Caenorhabditis elegans: one gene and its partners. The protein of the gene in region 2 purifies or fractionates together with the protein of the main gene of each other region. This does not show direct contact. Each region holds a gene or a part of one and is shown on either strand. Other genes may lie near its edges.

Region 1 (3,739 bases), on a different chromosome or scaffold from region 2:
ACGAAGGAAAATGACGGAGAAAAGAGTCCTTCTTCGTCCGGAAAACTGCAATCTTTCACTGCCACCAGTTACGAAGCGTTTTGACGAATTTCAATGAAAAAAGCGGCTCAGAAAAGGGGAAAAGCATAAAAGCATACGAAGAAAAGAGTTAACACTCATCCGTCCTTCAAAAATGGACAAATTTTGATCCCTCGCTACTCGTTTCCGTTAAGTCTTTGCTCTCCTTTTTTCGTTCCGTTTTGTTCCAAGTTTCTTGTCTCTCAATCCTGATGATGTCCATAGGGTTCGCATTGATTCAGTTTATTTTATATTTTCACATTTTATTTGACTTCAGCTGATCTCTATGACACTTCGAACTTCTGATTCTTACATTTTAACTATTTTCAGATGCGGTTTCTACACCCACCTGTCATTCTTTTATTACTGGTGCCCGTTTCTATGGCTATCATTCAGTGTACTCACTACAGAGTCCCACAAGGACAACCGATTCCGAAGGCTGAGCGAAACGTGAGTTCAACTGCTATTTGTATTGATAAGATTTTGCATTGCTTCAGCCAAGATGCCATTCGAAAGCAGAATATTGTGTGAAGGTCACCGGAAGCAGCGTAGGAACTAATCTTCCGTTCATTTCGGGCCGATGCGAGCATGCTGGTGAATGCAAGGACCACGGAAATGACTGCTTCACCAGAACCGACACTCAAGGAAAAGAGGAAGAAATCTGTTGCAGCTCTGGAAACTTCTCAAACCACGGATCAACCACTCCGCTTTTCACTTCTATCGCACTTTTCATCACATTGCTTATTATGTTTTGTTGAAGTCAATTTTAGTAATAAACTCGCCAAGCTATAAATTTCGAACAATTTTTTAAACAACATTTCATTAAAAACAAAACAACGTTTTACTTTTGGGCCTTCTTCAGTTTGGCGAGCTCCACTCGGACGATTCTGTTTCTCATCTGCTTGGCCTTCATGAGCTTGTATCTCTCGAAGTCGGTGAGCTTGGCTCTCTGCAAGTAAAAATGGTTAAAGTGAGCCGAAAATGCTAATTTTAATACAAAAACCAAGCTAACTTTAAAAATATCGGAAATAGTGACTTACGATAGCTCTTTGAGCGATCTTCTTGGCCCATTGAGTCTTCTGGAAGTTCTCGGTGACCTTGGCGGCATCGAAAGCTGCCTTAACTCCCTTGGTGCGTTGTCCAACACGGAGCTTGAGGACGAACTTGGTGAGCTGAAGATCCTTCAAGTTTCTGACGGTGCGAGTGACATCGGAGGATGGTCCATCGATTTGAACCTGAAAATAACAATTAGAAGCCTGTATTTATGTTTTCTTGGGGCTACGTGTTTGCTTAAAACAAACGCTCAGCTAAATTTATATCGATTATATTCGAAACAATTTCAAAAGGGAAGTTGTGATTAATCATAAATTAACAATCTAATTACTAATTGTTCAGTAAATCACTTTAACGAGCATATTTCAGTGATGATTTCACTATTTAATGATTCAGAGCTATGCTTTCCGATTTTTGCATTTTACAAACATTTCTGATCGCATTGATAATCTAAACGTTTTAAAAAGTTTAAGTAAAATTCAATAAATCTGCTATACATTTTTTTTTCTTAATTAATAAATGACTTACTCTGTTTCCGTCGATAACGTTGACGATGGCAGCAAGCTTGCCTTGGTCTTTGCCGGAGGCGATGAAGACGACGCGCCCAATTTGAACGACACGGTTGAAGACCATGTTTACTGAAAATTAAATAATAAATCAAAATTATAACGCGTACATTGAGAAGTGAAGAAACACCGAAAAAATTGACTTCACCAGCTAAAACGATATATTTTGAGCAAAAACTTATGATTTTAGTATTAATCGATAGACAAACTGGTTCTGAATTTTTCTTATATCGTTTTTATCACAGAAACAACCGAAAAATATCAAAAATTTGCTGAAAAAGAAGAAAATTTGGGAAAAAAATCGCAAAATGAGTAAGACAGCCATAGGCTACGGTGACAATTTCGTGGCGAGACCCACATGGGGCGGGACACGTGCAAGTATGCGGCGCACCCAACGCAACTGCGGCGCAGTTTATCTCATCTTTTTCATTGTAGGAAGGGGAACTTTGCTCAATTGTTTGCTCTTATGTAATTTCAGTGATTAATGTATGTATTTGTACTGAACCTGTATGAATTTCATTAAACCGGTGAATTTTCAAAAAAGTCGTGTTCATATTTTAGGAAAAAGCAACTTAGTCCAGTTTTTCGATATAAATTGCATTTTGTAAATTAATACAGGATGCATGGTAAAGTTTTATTACTGAAAACAAAATAAATAAAAACAATTCTGCGATATTCAGTAAACATAACGGGAATCAATTAATTTAACTGCATCATCTTCTGCCATTTGATTCATAGCATCGCGCAATCGGGAAATTGATGAGTCTTCAAGTTGTTCAAATTGGTCCAAAAGAATCATAGTCGGGCTTGAATCGTCTCCCGATGAGCAAATAGAAATAAGTTCCACCATGTGATCACAATTGAGTTGTTGTGCCAATCTTTGCCATTTGCACTGATCATCAAATATTTTTGCAACGCGAATTCGGGTCAAATAATCTAAATTGCAGACCGAATCACTAAGCTTCGGATTCCGATCCCATTCACTTCGACGCCTTCGTGTTCCCGACGATGTTGAGGGTCCCGGCTGTTGCTCATCTTCAGATTCAGATGTGGATATTCTCGAAACACGTGGAGCCATGGAGTCAGTTTCAGCGAGAAGAGTTTGAGCGTCTACAAAAACGGATCTAATTTCAAAAAATCTTTCAGAAAACATACCATTTAATATTTCTTCTCTAGATCTCTTCACAACTCTGTGCCGCCCACTCTCTTCACCTGGAGCCTGATCTGGATGAGATCTCCCAAATAAGGGAGATCTAGAAATAGCTAAATCATTAGGAACACCAAAAGCTTCTTTCTTGGGTAGTTCGGGTCTATCTCCATTTATAATGTTTTGAATAACACTATCTTCACTATCTGCCAAGCATATTCCTTTAGAATTTTGTCTATTCGGATCAGCTCCATTATCTAAAAGAAGGCCAATCACTGGATAGTTAACGTTTTTTACAGCCAAGCTCAATGCAGTCTCTCCAGATTCATCTTCTATATTTGTTCCTGATCCTCTCTGAAAAAATATTAAATTTAAAACAATGTTTTTCTATGTACAGTTACCTCAACCAAAAGCTGAATAGTCTCAAAATCATTCATTTCAATTGCGTGCATCAACGCATTTCTTTTCTTTTCAGTATCCAAAAAATCAATCAATGCTCCCGCTTCAATGAGCATCTCAATCAACGACAGCTTCAACCTTCTTACTGCCACGTGAATCGGTGCAAATCCCTCCGAATTCAGCTGATTCACATCAAACCGTTGACCTCTAGATGGTTCTAATATTTCTTTGAAAATTGATTCATTGTATGCATCTCCAAGATAATGTAGAGCCTGAGAAGTATTGAATAATCTACACAAAGCGAACATTTTGTCTGTTATATACTTACTGTGCTCCCATGATTATCTGATATGTCAATTTTGGCTCCATGATTCATGAGATAATGAACAGCATCGGGATCTCCAGTCCTTATAGCTACATGTAGTGCAGTAAGACCATGTGTGTTTTGTACATTTATCACTTCTGAAAATATTACCCATATGCAAAATATTGCGCCAAAAATAAGATCTCCGGTCTC
Region 2 (8,593 bases):
TCTCAAGAGCACACCAGTATCTCGTCCACGATCCGAGCCCCTCGCCAGTTCTCTGATACATTGACAAGAATCCGTGATAAGTGATATCAGCTCCATCGATCGCCTGTTTGCGTACTTTCATCTGTGTAATACCTTCGAGCGGATATACAGTATGTGACATGTTGTACAAATGTTTTCCAGGGCAATTGATGTCGAACGAGAATGTTCCGAGCAAATTGAAGTTGGATGTGGTCGACGAAGTTGATGATGACGATGCTGCTGGATCGACGAATAGGCTCTGGTTTGCTGATGAAGTTGATCCGCCGCCCAGGAATGTGTTACGAGTCTAGAAATATTACTTATTTCCAGGTTCTATTGATATACACGTCTAATTAAAGGCGCACGGGTTTATTCAGAAGGGTCTCGGAGCGCATGATAACCTCATTTATTTTCCATTTTGCAATCAAATTGCTTGCGAGTATGTAGCGAAAAATTCGCTTAAAACAACGGCGCGCCGAGACCCATATGAATAAATCTGTGCGGCTTTAAGAACACGGCCCGAGAAGTGGTACCTGTACGCAATTTGTCTACCGTATACCTGGACGTTTGGGCGCGTGTATCTCAAAAACAGTTGTCCAGTTTTTTTGTGATGCATATAAAAAATGCCCGATATTAAATTCTACATTTTTTGGACCAAAGCTTTTTTCGTTATCACGCGCCCAAACCTGGTCTACACTCAAATTATCAGTAGAGCGCATTTGCATGGATGTACCACTTGCCGGAACGTGAAGAAGATGAAGTTATGATACATTATTAACAGAAAACAGAAGAACAAGACATTTGACAATAACAAACAAACAAACAAACAGACATACATCATGCAATCTTCTCCACAATCTACAGGGTAGGGGCACTCTCTTCTTCTCCTCACTTGCTAAGTTTTCAGCAGCTGTCATTCTCGATTCATGCTCACACTCATCAACAACATCATAACAACACCATTTGTCGATATTCTATAGCAGCAGACATTTCGAATTTTCAACGGACGAGTATGTAAAATATGACAAATATTTCGGAAAAAAACAAACAAACCTTCGCCTTAAACGTCGAATTCTTCAACTTGTACTTATCCTCGTGCGACGTCGATTCTCGCATCGATCGTTGTCCATAAATCTCGACAGTTGCTCGGAAATCCGGTGGAATCCCGGTCAACATCAGTGGTACGGGAAACTCGAGAACACCACGACGATTCAGACCACCGTCGCTTGTCACCATTTTCGACACGTCGACTTGCTCGCCGTAGCGGAGAATCGCCGCGAAATAGAAGACTTCATCGGATTTCTTGCTTGACGCAATATTAGCTGACACATAATCACGAGCCATGTTCACTGACAACTGGGATACTGTTATCGTTCCACGTGGTCCATCGATACTGGAAAAAAATTGAATATTTTTTTAGGTGAAAAAAAAATTCGGAAAAAAAAAACTAACATTCTCGGTCCATCTCGTTTCAATCGATCATACTCAGTGAGAAGTGCTCGATGCTTTTCCACATGACGAAGCATTGCCCATTGTGCTTCAAATTCCTCACGCGATCCACGGAAACTTGGCTTATCCCGGGCCAATATCATTGCTCTCTTGGATTGAGCAACAAGCTGCTCTTCAACTTGAATCGCTCGCTTGATACGATCGTGAGCATCCTTAGCCGACTCGACAATTCGTGCTCCATTCGCAGGCCCGGTGGTGAGCTGTCGAAGTTTCTGTTGTGATGTGAGCGATGATGACATCGGCGGAGCAGATGGACTGATTTGACTGATAACTGGCCCGGCCAGCACTGTCGACGATTCTTCGTTTCTGTCTCGTTGAATTTTTCGATAAAACGAAACAGAGTAGGCCAGTTGAGAACTTGATTTTCGTGATCTTTCAGGTACAGGAAATTGTGTTGTTGCATCGTCATCCTCTTCTTCTTCCGGCTCATAGGGTTCAGATTCATCCTCATTTTCAGTTTCTTCTTCAATAACCTCCGCCGGCGGCCTATTCTTTTCCAAACGTTGCAACGGAGGCTCGCGATATGGGCTCGGCGTTCCAGCCCCAGATCCTTCCATAAATCCAAATGCATTATCAATGAATTTAGAAGTATCCTCTTCTTCTTCCTGAAGAATTCCATCTTCTGATATCACGTCTCCTCCATCATTAAATTCTGGAGCTTCAAACACATCATCTTCTTCTTCTTGCTCATAACGAGTACTTTTCGATGCAGGAGAAGCCGTGTTACTCCGAGCACCTTGCGAGTAGAGCGACGAGGCGGATGGTCCTTTTCGCTCTGATCTGTGACCAAGCTGTTTCGGAATCGCACTCTCCTTCATCTTAATTGCCGTAGCAATCAACGAATCTTCGGTAGCATCAGGATGTATTGGCGTGCCAGTTGCCGACGAAAACTCCCATCTCGACTTCAAATTCTTCAGCTTTCCAACTCCGGCTCCAACTGGTGGCTCATTACCAGCAGTCTTCTCGTCGGCACGAGCTCCCTGCACAACTGGAGTATTCGATTGTCCTCTCCATTGAGTTTGAACTGGAATCGGTGCAGTCGCGACGATCCCCACTACGGGGAACAGGTGCTTCTTTTGTTGAGCAGCATGACGATGGTTTGGAGTCAAGTGGCTCTGCTGGGCTACTGTAGGTGCCAATGGAGCCACGTGGCGTGGCGTTGGAACTGGTGCTGATGTAGGTGCAGGAGGCGCTGTCTGGAAATGGAGAGAAATCCGGTTTGGCTTTTTGCATCCGCAACATTTTGAATTTCCACTGAAAATAGCAGATTTTTCAGAACTATCAAATTTTTAGCTTTAGAATTTTATTTTCTGCATTTTCCGAACAAACTTTTTCGTTAAACAGTGAAAATCGAATTTAAAATGACTAAAATGAACCTTTTTCGTCCACTGGCTGTGAAATGTTTTGAATTTGAAGAAATCAACGGGATTTTTCTTATTTTCTAAAAATTTTTCTATTGAAAATCGGTTTTAATACATTTTTAATAGAAAAATATCTAGAAAATAAGAAAAATCCCATTGATTTTTTCAAATTCAATCCATTTCACAACCAGTGGACGAAAAATGTTCAGTTTAGTCATTTTAAATTCGATTTTCACTGTTTAACGAAAAAGTTTGTTCGGAAAATGCAGAAAATAAAATTTTTAAAGCTAAAAATTTGATGAATCTGAAAAATCTGCTATTTTCAGTGGAAATTCAAAATGTCACGGATGCAAAATCGCAACAATCGTGTTTTGCAGGGGGGATTTTTTCTAGTTTAATTAAATATTTTTTAATTTCCAATCAGTCGCAATAATCAGCTGCCAAGAGCATTTTCCACATCATATCTACTCACAACATTCGCGCTACTACTTTTCTTCAATTTCTCCTCAAACTGAAGCCGTCTCGTAGTCGCAATTGATCCTTCGACTGCGGCGGATTTCGATGGCGAGAAGATGCTCTCCGACAGAGTTTTCGGTGACGACGTGCTTTTTGGAGTCTGAAAGAGAGCAGTTAGTAGGTGAGGTGATAGAGGCGTGAAGCAAAAAACCAAAAAAACATACAAAATGCACAGGCGAGAACATGGATCTTCCGATATCTTTAGAAAACGGTTTTGGCGACGACGAGACAAGTGCATTGATGTTGTTGTTCGAGGTTTTAGTGAGCAAATACGAAGAAGTAAATGTATTAGTCGTGGTTTTTGTTGAAGCCGAGTCCTGTGGAGCATTCGATATTCCAGACGTTGTAGAGCCTGATGCACCGGAGATCGTAGTTAAAGTTGTCGTTGACGATGATGATGATGTCGCAGATGAAGCTTCTTTTGGCACCTTCTACACGACAAAAAAAAAACAAAAGGATTAGGCAACAAAGGATTTTCTCGAAAGCGTGCGAAATTATCACTAAAAAAGGCGTGCGGACTATGTATTTTGGAGTTATTATCGAAAAATGTTTCTCAAAATCTCATTTTTAAGGCTATGTCCCTTTAAGATTTGTGTAGATTTACGAGCTCGTGTACTATGCGTGGACAAACGTGAATTTATGTTCTTGCAGGATTTCACAATTTTTCGCTAAAAAGGGTGATTTTTCACTTTTCGTCCATTTTTCTGCATTTAAAACTGCCAGTCTACCTATTATATATTGTAATTTTACAAGACATGTCTTCCTAAAAACGCAAGGATTTATTCCGATGGGTCTCGTCGCGCTAAAAAGTTTATGATTAAATTGTTTTTTATTTTTCATTGAAATTACGTTGTTTTAAGCGATTTTTATCGACAAAATTCGCTATACGAAGCAATAAACTTTTGGCGCGCTGAGACCCATCTGAATACATCCATGCGCCTTTAAAGGTGGACTACGCTCAGTGGGGAAATTGCTTTAAAACACGCCTATGGTACCACAATGACCGAATATCATGATTAAAAAAATTCAAAAAAATTTTCTAAATTTTATATGATTTTTTGAAAATTGAAAAAATCTCAGTTTTTGCCTAATTCCTGTTTGAATTACCGCCAATTGGATTTGTTCGATGGAGCGCGCTTGCACGTTTTTAAATTCATTTATTTTATTTTTTGTTATTTTCCACCAATTTTTTAATGTTTTCGGTGTATTTTTGCTCGAATTTTAGAGAAAAAGTCAAGATAAATGCAAATTTTCGATTAAAAAGCAAACGTACAGGCGTAAATCAGTGAAATTAATTAATTCAGGTTCGAAATCGTTTAAAAGCGTTACTTTTCCATTTTTACGCTCGTAAGCGTGCTTTTTAATCGAAAATTTGCATTTGTCTTGACTTTTCCTTCAAATTTTCTGTAAAAATACACAGAAAACATGAAAAATCGGTGGAAAATAACAAAAAAAAATAAAATAAATAAATTTAAAAACGCGCAAGCGCGCTCCATCGAACAAATCCAATTGGCGGTAATTCAAATAGGAATTAGGCAAAAACTGAGATTTTTTCAATTTTCAAAAAATCATATAAAACCTAGAAAATTTTTTTATTATGATATTCGGTCATTGTGACCCCATAGGCGGGTTTAAAGCAATTTCCCCAATGAGCGTAATCCACCTTTAAGAAGGCAAGTCAAAATCTTGAGAAAATACGACAATATTAGGTAGATTGGCAATTTTGAATGAGAAAAATTAACGAAAAACCGTGAAATCCTGCACGAAAATAAATTCGCGATTGTCCACGCACAGTACACGAGCTCGTTAAAGGGACATTGACTTTTCCCAACATTCTACCTTTCTCATAAATGTGTGCGGTCCATATTCTTCGTTTGAAACTTGCTGTCTTTCTCTCAAAATCGCCTCTCGATTATCACACGATTGTGCGTTGATAATCGTATTTTCGTGTGTTATATGCTGATTCATCGACAGCTCTCCACAGCTCAGCGACGACGTGGTGACGTTCATCATTTCGGCAGAGCCTCCGAGCACAGTGCTCTGATCGTTTACAGATGATCCGGATCCTCCGGAGAAAATCGACGATTCGTTGGGCAGATAGTTCACATTCACAATTGGCTGGGCGAATTTGATGCGGCGAGCTTCGAAATCCGACATTCCGAGAGCGATTTCGGGAGCACTTTTCGACGATACCGCTACATTTGGGCTTTTCATGGCTTGTGCTCCAGCCGGAGTACACAGGACTGCTGGACGTGTCTCTCCGATCGACATTCGTGGAGATCTTCCCTTCATATATGCTTCTTTCGGCTTATTGTACTGTGATTGGTAGTCATATTCGTATTCATCGATTTCTTGAGCCAACATTGAGAATCTCGACGTCTTTTTGGAGCTTGACTCGTTGACTGTGGCATCTTTGAACGAATTTAATGAATTTTCAGCGTTTTCCTTCATATTTGGAGTTGTCTCCTTTGGCTCTTGAGGGTGAAAATGCACTGGAGTTGACGGGCCGTCGTTGCATTTTGAGGAGCTTCCGAAGACTTTTGTTGGAGATGCAACTGAAAATCAAACATATTAATTAATATATTTATATTTCTGTATTCTTAAAAACCCCAAAATATACCTTCTTGCTTCACAGATGTAATTTTTGAGGTCACTGGCCCATTCTCCTTTGCCACCTCTCCTTCGCCTGACATTTCGGCTTGCCGAACTCGTATGCGTTCCATTAGAGAATCGAATTGATCCCCCATTGTATTTACAGTGTAGTTCTGCAAGAAAACAATGTTTCCAAGAAAATCTCATCAAAACTTGCGAACAGTTTCAACGAATTCGTAAAACGACGCACTTTTCGCAGCTTTTCTTGTAGAAAATAATTAAAATTGACTAATACGCGTTTATATCGGGCAAAATTCGTGGAAAACGTGTCAAAAAACAGGAAAAATGTGAAAATTCACGTCAAAAAATCGAAAAACGTTTAAAATCGAGTTGCAAAATTTGAATACATTGTTTTGGCGGCAACCAGGTCTCGACGCGTGGTGGGACCCACGCGTGAAAAAAAACGCGCCTTTAATCCCGCGCATCTGCGTCTCTTCTTTTCGCGTGCTCTCTCTCTCTCTCCCTCTCGCGGGATTTCGTCAAAATAAAAAAAAATTTCGAAAAAAATCATTTATTCAATTAATATTTACAAGAAAAAGTGCCATATTAAGTCGTGTGAGCACCAGAATTATTGCAACCTGCATCAAAAATTCGAAATTATCACAATATGATTAAAAATGATTTAAATTTTTAAATTTATGCCAAAACTGCGTTCTCGTCTTGCGCAGGCTCTTCGTCCTCATCCTCCAGCACAAGACGTCCGTACTCTTCTTCGTCGGATTGTCGCTGTAAATTAGAGGAAATTGAATTTTGCAGAAAACCAACAATAATATAATTACCGAATAAACAATGATTACAACAAAAACGGCAAGCCAGGCGATAAGACCAAGTGACAAGCTGATAACACCTCCAATAAATGAATAATGTTTTGCGTTGAAAATATTAATCAGCTGATCACGAGTTCCTTGATCGAAATACGCAGTTTCGTTCATCCAAAGGACTGGAACAACGACGTTTGTCGTGTTTTCGGTGACACTGAAAAATCGATAATTATTAGAGATTTCAATTTCGTAATAGGTAAACCTCAAGGATCCCTTGACCATTCCCACATTAATCTGCATAATTCTTTTCGCTTGAGTTGGAACGCCGGCAGTTGGCTCAATATCTACAACAGTCAGGTCATTTGAAGCAGTTGGCACCGAGAGCCCAGTGACGGAATGCCACAGCTCCATTGGTGAGTTGTAGAAGTGTGGATTGGATAGATAGACACGTGGATTGCCGGCTTGGCATCGTGACAAGTCGATAAGACCGGCAGGGAGGCAGTTTTCTGGAAAAATTAATATTAAAATTTAAATTTAAATTTACAATCGAATTTTTTAAAATAAAACTCTCTCTCTCTCTCTCACCAATTTGCACAGTAGTATTATCAAAATATCGCGGCATTCCATTCTTATTACAAAATGCTCGATTCTGCGGAAGAGCAGGATCGTAAAGATCCAAAGGTGGTGCATATCTCCACGAAGGAACCCCATTCACAGCGACATCTTTTGTGTATTCCATTTGAATTGATCTACATATTTGCGGCACAAATATCGTCAATCTGTCTTCTCGTTTCAGCATCGGACTGAACAATTGTCCATCGGTTCCGTTAATCATTCGTGCGTATTTAGTATCCCATGTTCCTTCGGGCATTTCTGTCATATTATTCCACGTGTATAAATGACCGATTTTCGATGGAGATGGCACGCCAGCATCCACTTCGTATATTCCGTCTGTTGTTCCATTTTGCTGAAGAAAAATCAATATTTTGGAAGGAAAACCGTGCGGCATGGTTGCGCAAAATTTGGCTCCGCCTATTTTTCTGTGCGGCACCTTGCAAACTCATATCTTACCCCATAAAAGAATCCAACTCTCCGCTGAAGAGAATTCGTTTCGCAGAGGAATTGAAGAATTTTATTTTTACAAACGATATCGATTATCGGGTCTTCGTATCCGTCGAATAGAGCATCGCTTACTTTTACCTAAAATTTCACTATTATATTACGGAGAGCACAAAATTCCGAGAATTGCGTATTGCACAACATATTTGACGCGCAAAATGTGAAATATCTCGTAGCGAAAACTACAGTAATTCTTTAAATGAGACTGCTGGAGAGTTGTCGATTTACGGGCTCGAATTGAAAAAAATTCGAGCCCGTAAATCGACACAAGCGCTACAGTAGCCATTCAACGAATTACTGTAGTTTTCGCTGCGAGATATTTCATATTTTGCGCGTCAAATATGCTGTCCAATACGCATTCTTAGAAAAAACTATACCGTAATATACGGAGCCTCGGAGACCATTTTTAGCACTGACTCAATAGCAAATTTGATTCGAACTCCAAAAATTGTCACATCAGCCGCGTCGATGAGCTTTTGAAATACAATATTCGGAATTGTAACCTTCATATCCAAATGGCACGTTGGACAAGAAGCATTTTTGTTGAAATGATATAATTTTTGATTTTTATAGAATACTCGGGTATCATTGTCAGCAAATCTATGATAGACCTTCTCTTGTACTTCGCTGAAAAAATTTTTAATGGGATTTTGCTTC
Region 3 (4,201 bases), on a different chromosome or scaffold from region 2:
GGAGTGAAAGAATCAGACACCGGGTTGGCTCCACCAGCTCTATGGGATATTGCTGCTGATAAACAAGCAATGCAGCAAGAACAGCCTCTCCAAGTTGCCAGATGCACAAAAATTATCACCAGCGACAAGCACGATCCGCGTTACTTGATCAACGTAAAACAGTTCGCTAAGTTTGTTGTAGACCTTGCTGATTCCGTTGCACCTACTGATATTGAGGTTTGAAATTGTAATTAGATTTCACACATAATTGAAAAATGATTCAGGAGGGCATGAGAGTAGGAGTAGACCGTAACAAGTATCAAATTCATCTTCCGTTGCCCGCCAAAATTGATCCAACCGTCACAATGATGCAGGTTGAAGAAAAACCAGATGTAACATATTCGGATGTCGGAGGCTGCAAGGATCAAATTGAAAAGCTTCGAGAAGTTGTCGAGACTCCACTTCTTCATCCCGAGCGTTACGTTAATCTCGGAATCGAGCCACCAAAAGGAGTTTTGCTCTACGGTCCACCAGGAACAGGAAAGACGCTTTGCGCTCGTGCCGTTGCCAATCGAACAGATGCTTGCTTCATTCGTGTTATTGGATCAGAGTTGGTTCAGAAATATGTCGGAGAAGGAGCTCGAATGGTTCGTGAGTTGTTCGAAATGGCTCGTACCAAGAAGGCATGTCTTATCTTCTTTGATGAAATTGATGCTGTTGGAGGTGCTCGTTTTGATGATGGACAAGGAGGTGACAATGAAGTTCAACGTACTATGCTCGAGTTGATTAACCAACTTGACGGATTCGATCCACGTGGAAACATCAAGGTTTGTCTTTAATTCTTTATGGAAATAACCCAAAAAAATCTGTAATATAAATTTATTTATCTCTTGCTTTCTTGAAGGCAGTTTATATCATTAGTTCAGTCCTTTCATCCAAAAAAAAAGACACACATTTTTCGTTTGATAAGTTTCCAAAAAATTAATGCTTACATGTATTGTAAATATGAGTGTTTCATTAAAATAATTTGATATTTTCAGGTGCTTATGGCAACAAACAGACCGGACACTCTCGATCCCGCTCTCATGAGACCTGGTCGATTGGATCGTAAAGTCGAATTCGCTCTTCCAGACCTTGCAGGTCGTGCTCACATTCTCAAGATTCATGCAAAACAAATGAGCGTTGAAAGAGATATTCGTTATGATTTACTTGCTCGTCTGTGCCCAAACAGTACAGGAGCCGAAATTCGCTCAGTCTGCACCGAAGCTGGAATGTTTGCAATTCGTGCTAGAAGAAAGGTGGCAACTGAAAAAGATTTCCTTGAAGCTATCAATAAGGTTGTCAAGGGATATGCCAAATTCAGCGCCACTCCAAGATATCTGACACATAATTAATTGTACCCTATTCGGTTTTCATTCTCTTTCCGGTCCTCGATTAACTTATTTTCGCCCGTCCACCCATTTTTTTTTGTACAGATTCCCCATGTCTCCGATTTTTGTCTTATTTATTACATCCTATCGTCGTGAGATGCACCCAAGTTGGCCCAACACTGTCAGATGTATTCGTTTCGATTTTATGGATAAATGTGATTGGGTTTCTGACTATTAAAACTTGTATACACCAGTTTAAATGAATCTGAAAACGTGCCATAAAACCTTTTCATAAGAAGAGTAGTAATCTAAACGCGATTACGGTGTAATGCCAGAAAAAGTAAGAATAGAAGAAATTGGCAAGCGTATTTTAATGGTACTAATATTGTGCACACTTTACCTAGGAATATATTTTTCATCTCTACAATGTTGACTAGCGCCCTGAATGCTCCAAGGATACTGTTTTCCAACTAAATGTTCAACTGTTCAGTATTTATATTCTGCCTCCTAGAGGCGTTCAAAAATTGCGTATGCCACCCATGTTTCAGGGGACATCGCGGGCAATTGGGAAAAGTTTTCAACCAGCAATAAACGCACCTCGGCAAAGCCTCATTGGTCACGTTATCGCCCCAGCGCAAAGCTAAATTCAGCAGCTCACTCAGCTGATCCTATAAAACACAGCAACCGACAAATCGCGGCTTTCGCGCACAATGGTGCTTTCTGCATTCTGTATTCTTCGGAATGCGGCGCGTGTGCGTTGCGGTCGTCTTTTTCGAATTGCAATCGCTCGCGGTTTATCGGAGTCTCTCTGTTTTCTTGAAACGAATCTCTTCCCTTCGATTAAAACTGCATAAAAACTAATAAAAATCTCAAAATTGATTTTTCTTCTACTTTCTTAAGATCTGTAAAGTTTCGTTCCTCCGAATTCCTCTTTATGATTATTTAGAAAACCTCGCCCAATACCTTATTCTTCACTCTTATCGGTATTTTTTACATGAAATTATCATTGATTCTCAGCTAACCAATTTAATTTCAGGGACTTCTATCAAAATCAACTTTGATCATGTCGGCGTGAGTTCACATTGTTTTCATTGACCAGTAGTTTAAATTTATTTTTACAGCCAAGCCAAACCCCGTTCAGAGATGACTGCTGAAGAACTCGCTGCAAAGGAGGACGAGGAATTCAATGTCGGACCACTCTCCATCCTCACCAACTCAGTCAAAAACAATCATCAAGTTCTCATCAATTGCAGAAACAACAAGAAGCTTCTCGGAAGAGTTAAGGCTTTTGACAGGTTAGGTTTCTTAGAAATACTATTAAGTAAAAACTCACAAGTATTTGTCGGTAGTAAACTTCAGACAACATTTTTTAAAGAAAAGTGTTTCAAAAATAATATTTGAATCATCGATAGTGAACGTATTTTGGTTGTCGTCTCGATGCTGTAGCAAAATATCATTTACTATATATAATGCATTTATTCCGTTTGTCCATAGTTTGTAGTCTGTGAAGGTTTGGCTTAGTGTAGGGATATAGTCGGGGTACTGTAGTGGTACAATAGTGGTACGGTAGGAGTACTGTATGATTATGGTAGTTTCAGAAAAATTAGTTTTCAGCCCCAGAAGTCGGGGCAGCGCCAGAGGTGCGGTCCACGGCTGGTAGATTTAATAAAACGGCACGATCCTCCTGTGCTGTAACAAATTGTCGTGGCATCAAATTATTCAAACACGTATTGCTACGATTTCCAAAGGGAAAACACAAATCTTACACTAATATAAGTACTTTCTCATTTGCCGTAACTTTCGTGTCCCGCAAAGCATGCAAAATTCCAAGAGGAGTTTTCTACTATTGTTCGTATAAAAATAATTGGAACGTATAGTCTAATTCTTTACTTTTTCAGACATTGCAACATGGTCCTCGAAAATGTGAAGGAAATGTGGACTGAAGTGCCAAAGACTGGAAAGGGAAAGAAGAAGGCAAAGTCTGTCGCCAAAGATCGTTTCATCTCAAAAATGTTCCTCCGCGGAGACTCCGTCATTCTCGTCGTCAAAAACCCACTGGCACAAGCTGAATAATTCACCTTCAGAAAATCTCCCAATCAGTACGGTTTTCTCGTATTTGTTATGACACCTTACAATTTTCGAAATTTTCACTCTTGTTCTTCCCCCTCCCGTTCACCCTGTTGTTTCGTTTCAATGATCATCATTTTCCACTTTTTATTTATTGATAAACGTTCCTATTTAATACCACAGTCGTGTTTTTTTCTGAAGTTGAATCCGTATCCTCGCGGCAGATGATTTTTGTAGTTCTGCGTGATTGTTGCTTGAACTTGAAACCGGTTTTTCGATTTTTCGTCGATGTTGACTGTCAGTGCTATCAGAATATCATCGTCTTTCGTCTTCAAAGTTCAGGTTACTATTGGTCGTTATTTTTTGAATAAAAACGCTATATTCCACGTTTTTCATGAAATGTGATTTATTGCCATATTCCAAAAAATCAATTTCAGAAACGAAAAATGCCGATGGTCAGAGTTGCGACGAATCTACCAAATGAGAAGGTTCCTGTTGATTTTGAGGTTTGTGTTTTAATCAAACATTTTCTAAACGACTCAACAAACACTGAACAGTCTAGAGAAAATTTGTAGAAAAAAACAAGTATTTTAAGAGAAACAAATATGGTTCCCGGTCTCGACACGACGAGTTTTTTCGTTGCGAGAAAGTGTGCGCCTTTAAAGATTACTGTAATTTTATACTCGAGTTTCTGCAGAATTCTTAAAGATTTTATATAGTTTTTCTCACAATAAGTTTTTCAATGAAAATATTTTTAACGAAAAACTATGAACAATTGATGAAAA
Region 4 (3,861 bases), 1.7 Mb from region 2:
AATTCCCGCGTCTGGGTAAAACCCGTATAAAATCTAAAACGTTAAAAATTTCAGAACTATTTGACTGCTTACACCTACGAAATGCCAGCTGAAATTCGTGAACATGTGAATAGCATCAAAAACTGCGAGGACATTGCTATGAATTATTTAGTTTCTCATCTCACACGAAAACCGCCAATCAAAACGACTTCTCGATGGACGCTCAAGTAATTTCCAGATTTTAAATGAGTCTAATCTAATAATAATTTCAATTTTCAGATGTCCAACTTGCACGGAAAGCTTGTATAAAGAAGGGACACATTTCGAGAAACGCCACGAATGTATGCGATTGTTCACGAAAATCTACGGCTACAATCCTCTGAAATTCTCCCAATTCCGTGCTGACTCGATTCTTTTCAAGACGCGTCTCCCACAGAATCATCAAAAGTGCTTTAAATATGTGTAAAAAAATCCCCCTCTGCATTTGCTCACTTTCCCTATTGCCGGTATAATTCACTTGTCGAATGGTGCTACAATTTATTGCAACAAGTTGTTTAAAATTTTTTAGTCGAACATAAAATATAAAATAAATCATGGAGATTGAGAGTGATGAGCCAACCATTTCTTCAATTCATTCGCACAACGATCAAACAGCAAATGTACAATCCTTCTTCTACCCAAGCCAGCACTTTGAATTGTAGACACCGGTTGGGTATGCAAATTATTTTTAAGTTAAGAAATTAATTGGCATATGAAATGTATAAAATGGTAAATTTAGGTGGGATGGTTTTGTGAGATTTGAAAACAAGGATTTTGAAAGGTTAAAGTGTTTAAAGATCATCGTCGTCATCTGGAAGATCAGCCTTGGCGGCGTTGTCCAGATCCTTTTCGTATTCGGCAATCATGGCTGGGTCCATTTGAACCTGGAAATTAAAATATTGCTTATGAAAGAACATGGATTTAAAAATACCTCTGGAGGAGCCAAAGCTGGCATTGCGACAAACTCGAGGTTTGGATCTCCGAGCAGCTTTCTGGCGAGCCAGAGGAATGGCTTTTCGAAGTTATAGTTCGACTTTGCGGAGATGTCGTAGTATTGGAGGTTCTTCTTTCGGTGGAAGGTGATGGTCTTGGCCTTCACTTTACGGTCCTTGACGTCGACCTGAAATTTGTAATTGAATATATTGGCCAGTTTCAGCTAGTGATTACCTTATTTCCGCAGAGAACAATTGGAATGTTTTCACATACTCTGGCCAAATCGCGATGCCAGTTCGGGACATTCTTGTAGGTGACACGAGCGGTAACATCGAACATGATAATGGCGCATTGTCCTGGAAATTGGGCATTTCAGAAGTTATAATTTCGAATTTTAACATACCTTGGATGTAGTATCCGTCACGAAGACCACCAAATTTCTCCTGTCCGGCGGTGTCCCAAACGTTGAAACGAATTTGTCCGCGATTGGTGTGGAAGACAAGTGGGTGAACTTCGACTCCGAGAGTGGCTGAAAACAATTATTGAACTGGGAGAAACAAATTCCTGAATTACTTACCAACATACTTCTTCTCGAACTCTCCAGTCAAGTGACGTTTAACGAAGGTAGTCTTTCCGGTTCCTCCATCTCCGACAAGGACAAGCTTGAAAGTTGGGATGCCGTCTCCACCAGACATGACTGAAATGAGGAGATGAGGAGAATAAAATACGAAGGAAAAAGATTGTCAAGAGGAAAATAGCACGAAACTTTTCGAAAATGCGAATTATTGCGAAATTCTACGTATTACCGAAGCTTCAGTTGAAAATCACGAAGCGGTGGATAAATATTTCAAAAACAAGAATGTTCGGATAATGTGTATTTAGAATTGAGCAAAAAAGTTTTAGAAGAGACGTGAAGCTGAGCAGAGAGATTATCTCGTGATCAGAGCTTGCTCATGGAGCAAAATCAGAGAGAACTCGAAAATTACAGTGAACCAACTGAGGAAACAACGCAAATGCATCAAAATGAATGAAAAAACCGAAAAAAGATGACAAAACTTGGCGCCAGGGACAAGAAAAGTATTCGAAAATGGCGCAACAAGCCAGATTTGCGCGCCAAAATGAACAAAATTCGAAAATGTTTTTGCGTAGAACCCCGTGTGTGTTGAGGCATAGGGGCACACACGCAGCCTGTGTCTCTTTCGTCTGGCACACTGCCAATGGGGGTTTCTTCTCTCGTTTTTCAAAAAATCGATAGTTTTCTGGCAGGTTTTCTGCTTCTTGACACTTTCCACGAGCTTATGAGGCATATTTGGAGTTCATTAGAACCTTATTAATCTTTAAACTCTTGTTAATCGCTTCAGAACTGTTGGATTTTGTCAATAATGTTATTTTTTCAGCGAAGATCTCATCATGGGCAAGAAGGATAAGCGTTCCAAGCTTGAGGGAGACGATCTAGCTGTTAGTTTTTAATTTTCAAGCCATTTATTAAATATTGAGTACATTTTCATTATTTCAGGAGGCTCAACAGAAGGGATCATTCCAACTTCCATCCTCGAACGAAACCGCCAAGCTCGATGCTTCCCAGTGGCCACTTTTGCTCAAGGTAGTTGAGTGATCTCATTTAAAAATTAAATTATTATTTCAGAATTACGACAAATTGAATGTGCGCACCAATCACTACACACCACACGTCGAGGGAGTATCACCATTAAAGCGTGACATCAAGAACTACATTTCGTCTGGATTCTTCAATCTTGACAAACCATCGAACCCATCTTCTCACGAAGTCGTGTCCTGGATCAAGAGAATTCTTCGTTGCGAGAAGACCGGACACAGTGGAACACTCGATCCAAAAGTATCGGGATGTCTGATCGTTTGTATCGACCGTACCACTCGTTTGGCCAAGTCGCAGCAAGGAGCTGGAAAGGAATACATCTGCATCTTCAAGCTCCACGAGGAAGTTGAGGATGATCGCAAGGTGAAGCAAGCCCTCGAGAAGCTCACCGGAGCCCTCTTCCAACGCCCACCACTGATCTCAGCTGTCAAGCGTCAGCTTCGTATTCGTACCGTTTACGAGAACAAGTTCATCGAGTATGATCCAGCTCAACAGATGGGAATTTTCAAGTAAGAATCCTTATAATAAATCTAATTTCTAGTTTTCATTTAATTTCAGCTGCATCTGCGAGTCGGGAACCTACGTTCGTACAATTTGTGTGCATCTCGGTCTCATCCTCGGATGCGGAGGTCAAATGCAAGAGCTTCGCAGAAACAGATCCGGAATCTGCGATGAAAACGAGAATATGGTCACAATGCACGACGTTCTCGATGCTCAGTATCTCCTAGACACCCAGAAAGACGAGAGCTACATGAGACACATCGTTCGTCCACTTGAGGCTCTTCTCACCCAGCACAAGAGAGTTGTTGTCAAGGACAGTTGCATCAACGCGATCTGCTACGGAGCCAAGATCCTTATTCCCGGAATTCTTCGTTACGACGATGACATCGAGGTTGGCAAGGAGATCGTCATCATGTCGACGAAGGGAGAAGCCATCTGCATCGCTATTGCTCAGATGAACACATCAACGATCGCTTCAGTCGATCACGGAGTCGTTGCCAAGTCGAAGCGTGTCATTATGGAGCGTGATGTGTACGGAAGAAAGTGGGGACTTGGACCGGTTGCATCCAAGAAGAAGCAAATGGTCAAGGACGGACTTCTAGACAAATTCGGAAAACCAAATGACACTACTCCAAAATCGTGGGCCAAGGAGTACGTTCAAACTTCGACGAAGAAAGAAGTCAAGAAAGAGGAGACGCCAGACGAGGAAGAGGAGGAGGCACCGAAGAAGAAATCCAAAAAGTCCAAGAAGCAAGAGTCGAGTGATAGTGATAGCGATTAAGCTCATTTTTATG

The links.
Region 1: the proteins of ani-1 (region 2) and rpl-14 purify together in Caenorhabditis elegans (affinity purification with mass spectrometry, with the first as the bait; one large-scale study listed by BioGRID). This does not show direct contact.
Region 3: the proteins of ani-1 (region 2) and snr-4 purify together in Caenorhabditis elegans (affinity purification with mass spectrometry, with the first as the bait; one large-scale study listed by BioGRID). This does not show direct contact.
Region 4: the proteins of ani-1 (region 2) and ran-1 purify together in Caenorhabditis elegans (affinity purification with mass spectrometry, with the first as the bait; one large-scale study listed by BioGRID). This does not show direct contact.

What each region holds. Positions count from the first base shown.
Region 1 is NC_003279.8:9,687,206-9,690,944, reverse strand, and holds rpl-14 (Large ribosomal subunit protein eL14), read right to left. Parts: upstream 1,749-3,739; 5' UTR 1,744-1,748; coding exon 1,639-1,743; intron 1,293-1,638; coding exon 1,098-1,292; intron 1,007-1,097; coding exon 899-1,006; 3' UTR 864-898; downstream 1-863. Other genes in the region: nssp-7 (Activin_recp domain-containing protein), read left to right, coding at 388-507, 555-815; ikb-1 (Death domain-containing protein), read right to left, coding at 2,353-2,786, 2,832-3,177, 3,225-3,494, 3,551-3,684.
Region 2 is NC_003281.10:12,447,034-12,455,626, forward strand, and holds the start of ani-1 (Anillin-like protein 1), read right to left. Parts: upstream 6,170-8,593; 5' UTR 6,152-6,169; coding exon 6,025-6,151; intron 5,960-6,024; coding exon 5,244-5,959; intron 3,836-5,243; coding exon 3,569-3,835; intron 3,505-3,568; coding exon 3,361-3,504; intron 2,724-3,360; coding exon 1,471-2,723; intron 1,412-1,470; coding exon 1,072-1,411; intron 326-1,071; coding exon 1-325. Other genes in the region: scav-3 (Sensory neuron membrane protein 2), read right to left, coding at 6,693-6,782, 6,836-7,031, 7,080-7,323, 7,403-7,784, 7,889-8,017, 8,314-8,563. UniProt on the Caenorhabditis elegans protein: Required for contractile events in embryos that occur prior to mitosis, such as cortical ruffling and pseudocleavage. Promotes membrane ruffling by organizing cortical patches of septins and myosin II. Not generally required for cytokinesis in mitotic cells.
Region 3 is NC_003283.11:11,977,908-11,982,108, reverse strand, and holds snr-4 (putative small nuclear ribonucleoprotein Sm D2), read left to right. Parts: upstream 1-2,385; 5' UTR 2,386-2,412; coding exon 2,413-2,420; intron 2,421-2,470; coding exon 2,471-2,644; intron 2,645-2,775; exon of another isoform or gene 2,776-2,796; intron 2,797-3,247; coding exon 3,248-3,422; 3' UTR 3,423-3,601; downstream 3,602-4,201. Other genes in the region: rpt-1 (26S proteasome regulatory subunit 7), read left to right, coding at 1-216, 264-806, 1,020-1,373; MIF-like protein mif-2, read left to right, coding at 3,705-3,758, 3,854-3,922. UniProt on the Caenorhabditis elegans protein: Plays a role in pre-mRNA splicing as a core component of the spliceosomal U1, U2, U4 and U5 small nuclear ribonucleoproteins (snRNPs), the building blocks of the spliceosome.
Region 4 is NC_003281.10:10,746,081-10,749,941, forward strand, and holds ran-1 (GTP-binding nuclear protein ran-1), read right to left. Parts: upstream 1,649-3,861; 5' UTR 1,647-1,648; coding exon 1,529-1,646; intron 1,481-1,528; coding exon 1,355-1,480; intron 1,308-1,354; coding exon 1,186-1,307; intron 1,139-1,185; coding exon 950-1,138; intron 903-949; coding exon 810-902; 3' UTR 501-809; downstream 1-500. Other genes in the region: rib-2 (Exostosin-like-3 homolog), read left to right, coding at 55-206, 259-445; dkc-1 (Putative H/ACA ribonucleoprotein complex subunit 4), read left to right, coding at 2,362-2,409, 2,468-2,554, 2,597-3,075, 3,125-3,848. UniProt on the Caenorhabditis elegans protein: Ran GTPase system comprises ran-1, ran-2 and ran-3 and is essential in nucleocytoplasmic transport. Ran-1 is a GTP-binding protein that mediates the interaction between mitotic chromosomes and kinetochore microtubules.